Linked DNA regions of Canis lupus familiaris. The protein of the gene in region 2 purifies or fractionates together with the protein of the main gene of each other region. This does not show direct contact. Links are inferred from orthologs where the notes say so. Each region holds a gene or a part of one and is shown on either strand. Other genes may lie near its edges.

Evidence for each region. Proteins that work in one complex are often made in the same cells at the same time.
Region 1: the proteins of ACIN1 (region 2) and SAP18 fractionate together in Homo sapiens (co-fractionation; 7 studies listed by BioGRID and IntAct, with this or other methods). This does not show direct contact. The link is inferred for Canis lupus familiaris from reciprocal best matches to the Homo sapiens genes ACIN1 and SAP18.

What each region holds. Positions count from the first base shown.
Region 1 is NC_049246.1:17,090,080-17,094,035, forward strand, and holds the start of SAP18 (histone deacetylase complex subunit SAP18), read right to left. Parts: upstream 2,801-3,956; 5' UTR 2,751-2,800; coding exon 2,622-2,750; intron 2,439-2,621; coding exon 2,329-2,438; intron 1-2,328. UniProt on the Homo sapiens protein: Component of the SIN3-repressing complex. Enhances the ability of SIN3-HDAC1-mediated transcriptional repression. When tethered to the promoter, it can direct the formation of a repressive complex to core histone proteins.
Region 2 is NC_049229.1:3,494,724-3,496,963, forward strand, and holds part of ACIN1 (apoptotic chromatin condensation inducer in the nucleus), read right to left. Parts: coding exon 2,212-2,240; intron 1,684-2,211; coding exon 1,538-1,683; intron 1,137-1,537; coding exon 1,029-1,136; intron 891-1,028; coding exon 783-890; intron 541-782; coding exon 216-540; intron 105-215; coding exon 4-104; intron 1-3.

The sequences.
Region 1 (3,956 bases), on a different chromosome or scaffold from region 2:
TTAAATTTAAATGATCCCAGAAAATCTGAATAGGCCTGATTCAAGTAGTTGAAAAGACCTTAAGAGCAGAGTGCAGCTTCTCTAAAAAAAATTCAGGCTGCTGTGAGCAGTCTTAGCTCTTGTTTGAGAGTTTGTTCTAGCCTGGCCCTTCCTTATAGCTCACCCCATAGATTAGGGACTTAGTTATCTAGGCAGCCCTCATAATTATGTGAGCCAATTCTCTGCAATCAATCTCTTCATACAGATCTCCGACTGGTTCCATTTTTCTAGCTAAACCCTGATATAGCTACCTAATTACTTCCCTTTCAATAACCTGTTTAATGACCACCCGAGCAAGGGAGATTTACCACTCCTGTGGTGTCTGGCTTGTTCCTCCAACTCCACACAGTGCCTTGAACTTTGGCAAACTCAACTGACTTCTGCTAGGCTCCTCTGGACTTCACTCCTTTTTCTTAGACTTATCTTAGGGCTGCCTATTCAGTCCTACAGTCTACTTCTACAAATTGAGAATTCCCAAGATTTGTTAACTAATCTTCCTTCAGTACTGTTTCTGGAAAAGGGGGCAGGACTCTGTGCTGTCACACCAACCACAAGTCTTTCAGAATTTTTGTCTTTGACCATCATTTTAAGGTATAACATAAGTTGCTTTTCCTTATTTGGTTGCAGTTTAGGGATAGGACAGTTTTGGGCAGAATTTTTACGTAATTTTTTTTCTGGATTAGGAGTAAAGGATCTTTGGAACAATCTCACTCTGCTATCTTCACCCTTAAGTCTTACCTAATTAGCATTTATTCATCTGCTTTCTCCAGTAGGCTGAGCTGACTGCGTGGAGGGGCAGTACCTTCTTTACTTCATACCCTCAAAATCTAAGCACAGCACCTAGCAAATAGAACTCTGATGCCTGGAGAAGTATACACTTCAATCCCGAACAGAGTTTTCATCAATACATTAGTAACAGTTCTTTCTTGTAAGTTAAATCAACCTTCCTGGAGCTTTTATCCTGGAATGATGCTGAACTAAAATCATATTACATAACTTTAACCAATACCAACACAAAGACAATTACGGTCCCAGTCTTTAAAGGAGTGAGTGCTGGACTCACAGTTTAAAATTACACACTCTCTGGGGCTGTAAAATGGTGCAGCTGCTGTGAAAACCAGCTTGTTATTTCCTTATTCCTTAAAAAGTTAAACATGTAATAATGTTATGATCCAGCAATCCTATTTCTGGGAATATACCCAAAAGGATTCAAACGATATGTGCATACCCAGGTTCATAGCAACATTATTCACAAAAGCCAAAAAAATGGAAACTCAAGTACCTATCAACAGAAAAGTGGACAGACAAAACGTGGTATATCCATACATTAAAATATTAAGCCATAAAAAAAAAATGAAGTTGTGTGCACATAAAAAAGAATGTGCTACAACATGGATGAACCTTGTAAATGTCACACTGAAATAAGCCAAACACAACACTTGTGTGAAATACCTAGACTGGGCAAATTCATATAGATATAAACTAGATTAGAGTCTATCGGGGAAGAAAGGAATGGAAAATTACTGCTTACTGGGTAACTTCTGCCAAGGAGGGGGAAAAAGTTTTGGTAATAGGTAATAGTTGCACAATGCGAATATAACTGATGCAACTGAATCATACATTTAAGAATTATAATAGCAAATTTAACGTTATATAATAAAGATATATATTTAACACTTAACTTTTTACTGCTACTACACAGCCATTATGATGTCAAACTAAGGAAACATATGCAGCTCTAAAAATATGCTTACAACATGTAATGGCCCTAAGAAAGACTTAGGGGTAGAGAAGGTACACATAAACATTCAGGGGCAGGTCTTCACGAAACACACATTAAAAGCTTTTCCATTAAGCACCAGATCAGAAATCAGTTGGGTTTTTGCTGATTTCCTTTTTTAATACTATAGCATTGAAGGCTTAATATTTCACAGAAATGCTCTTGAGGATTTACTTTACTATGTAATTCTAGTACCATTTAGTTGACTACGGGCCCCTTCAGGGCAGCTACTGCATTTTATTTATCTACGTGTATTTTTATACCAAGCAGCCACAACAGTGATAGCAATCCTGGGTGCGTCAGTTCTTCACAACCCAAAAGTTTGAACATGAAGCTTAATTGTATTACAAGATGGGAGAATCCCCTTTTACCTAACAACTAAAACTTCCAACTTTCTGAGAGCCGGGCCCAAGGACCCGGAAGGGGAGGAAGCGGAGCCACGGAGGGAATTACTGTGTTAATGCCCGACCACCCCCCGGGTCCCGCCCCCGCGGACCCCGCGCTCTCACCAAGTGTAGATCTGGAGCTCGCTGGACGGCACGTTTCCGCGGGAAAACTCGTCCATTCGGTGGTGGCGGCCGTTATTGGTGGTGAAAACACGCAGCAGCAGCGGGCACGTCTGGGAGCAGAGGAGGAAAAGGAGGGCAGAAGTTAAAGAAAGCGGCTCGGGTCCGGGGCTCCCTTTCCCTCCGGAGGCGTCGCGGCCTCTTACAGCCCGGGGAGCAAACACTGCCGCTTCCTGCACGCAGGCCGCGCTCTCCGCCCCGCCGGGCCCACCTCCACCTCTCTCCGGATCCCATACTTTCTCCCGATCGATCGGTTTCTCCGGCTCCTTCTTAATTTCCTCCTGGGTAACGCGCGACTCCACCGCCATCTTCCTCCTACGGCCCGCGAGACGCTCGCTCTGACCTCCGACCCCCGCAGCGAGCATGAGAACGGAGTCTCTCGCGAGGAGAAGCTCGAGGCTTTATAGAGGACCGGGGAGGAGGGGCGGGGCGTTTGCTGGCGCAGGCGCAGTTCGTTGTGCGGCGCGTGAGCCCGGGCCCGGCCACGCCTGCGTGTTGCGTCCTCAGGAAAAAGGCGGGCGTTGGCGTCCGCGGGGCGGGGTTTCTGAGGGATCGTGTCGCTGTGGGTGTTCGGAGGCTGAGGAAGTGACCGCCAGTTGTTCGCGGGACAAACAAGCCGGCGGGGCATTGTTCCCGCGTAGTGAATGTTCGCAAACGAAGGACTCGAGAGTGGTACAGGGGATCAGTGAGTCAGCGGAGCATCAAACTCTGGAATAAAGGAAGACCTGGATGGGAACCGGACGCCAGAGGGAAGACGGAAGAGGCTGCGAAATGGAGGGGAAGACGGTGCTGCAGTGTGTGCTCGCGAAATCGTCAGCCGTCTGTACCGCGGGAGGGTGACGGGCGCCTCCGCACGCGGTGGGCCAGGGACCCGCGTGTGAACAGCAGGACGAGAACTTTGTGGCGTAGCGTGAACGCGCTTCAGGATCAGTGCGTTGGGATACGTGATACAAAAGGCGTGGAGCCAGAGATCGGTGAACCTGACGAGATTTAAATCGAAAAAAAAGTAAAGCCACGAGGCCTGACCTTAAAATACATCATCAAGAAAGAAAAACCACAGAGTGGTAAAAAATTTCCATGATGCAGGTGATTGACAAAAGCTAGTGTCCCATAGCTTTTATTAAAGAACAGACAACCCAATGGAAGATGGGTAAAATAACCGAAAAGTGCTTTTAAAATGAAGAAACCCACATGGCTAATAACCATGAGATGCTCAAGCTCCTTACTAGTCAGAGATTGCATGAAAACCATAGAGCCGGGCAGCCCGGGTGGCTCAGCCGTTTAGCGCCGCCTTCAGCCCGGGGCGTGATCCTGGAGACCCGGGATCAAGTCCAAGTCGGGATCCCTGCATGGAGCCTGCTTCTCCCTCTGCCTGTGTCTCTGCTTCTCTCTCTGTCTTTCATGAATAAATAAATAATAAAAAATCTTTTAAAAATTACTATGCCATGTATTTACTTGTACCCCAAACACTGAAGTGTAATTTAAAAAAATAAAATGTATTGGGCAGCCGCGGTGGCCCAGTAGTTTAGCGCCGCCTTCAGCCCAGGTTGTGATCCTGGAGACCCTGGATC
Region 2 (2,240 bases):
CACCTGGCTGTCAGTCAGTGGGAGCCAGTAGATGCAGGGAGCTGCCTTGGTCTTACGGAAAAGGTCGTCCAGCAGTTTGGCAGGTGGTTCCTCCTGAGCTTTTTCTGAGGTGGAAGCAAAGGAGTCAGTCTTTACGCCCGAAGACCCTGTATCCCATCCCATTTGGGTCCCTTTCCCACCTACTAGCAGGTATGTGTGTCCCCACAGCTAAGTACCTTTCTTCTCACTCTTCTTTTCTTTAGACTTCGCACGTTCCTTGCGGCGGCGGTCACGGGACCGTGATCGGGAGCGGGGCCCTTCTCGAACTTTGTCCCGATCCCATTCACGCTCTGATCGAGTTCGCTCCCGCCGCTCCATTTCCCGTTCCCGCTCTGCCCACTGTTCCCGCACCGCCCGCTCCTGCTCCCGCTGCTCTGCCCGGGGGTGCTGTGGTGGCTGGGCTGGGGGTGGGGGCGGGGGGTGCAGGGGCCGTGGTACCCCCTGCTCCTCTGTCTTAGTTTCAGAGGGACGGTCCACCAAGAGGCCCCGGTGATAATCCAGCTGTGGGTAGAGGAGGGACAAGGACAGTCAGGATGGACAGGAGAACACTCCCACTGAAGGAGCCCAGGTACCAGGGCATATAGATTTTGGAGTCCCATGGTTCAACTAAAGGAACCAAGGGGGTAGGGAGAAGAGGGAGAAGGAATCTCAGTGACTGCAGGTTTGGCCAGGATCTCAGCTGGATTCTAGCAGATAATGGCCTCCCCTGCCCCTCCCCTCCTTCCTTTCCCTAGGTTTCTCACCTCATCTTGCTCAGCATAGTCAGCACAAAGGAATTTGGGATTGGACTGAGGCCATTTGACCCCATGTAGAGCTGTGCGGGTGGCAACTGCTTCCTCTACTGTTGAGTACTGGTGGAGGAAGAGAGAAGGCAGAGGGTCACAACAGGCCTCAATCCCTCCCACTTGCCACAAGGCCCTCAAACCTGCCCACATTGTTACAGAAGGAAATATATGCCACGACCCAGAGAATCAACTTCCTCCCCTCACCGTTACAAAGCAGTGAGATTTGATCTTGTCAATCCAGAAGGCCTCTTCCACCAGAGTTCCTGTCCGGCCCAACAATTCCTTCAGTTGGCCTAAAGTGAAGGGACGCACCTGCCAAGGAAAATGGAGTTTCAGAGTCTTGAAAAAGGCAAGAACAATACCCCTGTAATTAGTCTTCAGATTTCCCCAAGTATATGGTACAGGAGTATAGCCTCAAAGTCTGGGTGCACAGGGGCCAGGAACTCTCACATGGGAATGAGAGAAGAGTGAAGAATAGTAACACTAACTGACACTATGCACCAGGCCCTCTGCAAATTCTCTAGATGACCCTGCACAATGATACTCTGTCCCCATTTTTCAGATGAGGAGACCCGTTGTGAGAGATTAAGCCAGTCACTCAGTAAGTAAATAACTTAACTGGCAGATCTAGGAGTTGAAGTTAAGTAACAGGAATCCAAAGCTCAAACTCTCAAACACTAAACACTGTGCTGTGGGAAGCGACTTTGGCTCACCAAATTGGAGATGTGGACGATGTTACTGATCTTGCCCCGGGGCGGGGAGGGCACCTGAGCAGTTCGGACTGGGTCATCAATTGTAATGGAAACTCCAGACTTTTGCTGGCTAATGGAACGTCGAGTTAAGGTATCTCCTAAAGTCACTATCAAAAAGAGAACACAAGAAACAGTTTTCAGCAGGGAGCAATACTGGCTCTCTTCCCTGTGCCATGCCTCTTATTCCCTAGCATGCAGTCACTCTTCCATCTAGTCTTCCATTTAACTGTGTTCAGCAGCTACAGCGTGCAAGGTACCGTCTAGGCAAAGCTCCTCATTACGGAGCCTCACAGATTTTAACCTAGCTTTCAAGAAGCTTAATAACTAGGAGAGGGAGGTAAAACATACACAAGATACTATAATAAAAAGCAGGAAACATGAAACCCTTTAAAGAGAGGTCCAAGGATGCCCGGGTGGCTCAGCGGTTGAGCATCTGCCTTCAGCCCAGGACCTGATCGTGGAGACCCGGGATCGAGTTCCACATTGGGCTCCCTGCATGGAGCCTGCTTCTCCCTCTGCCTGTGTCTCTGCCTCTCTGTCTTTCATGAATAAATAAATAAAATTAAAAAGAGAGAGAGAGAGAGAGATCCAAATAAAGTGCTATGGGAATACAAGGAGCCACATGCTTCACCTACCTTTCTTTACTTCATGCTCCACAGGTGGG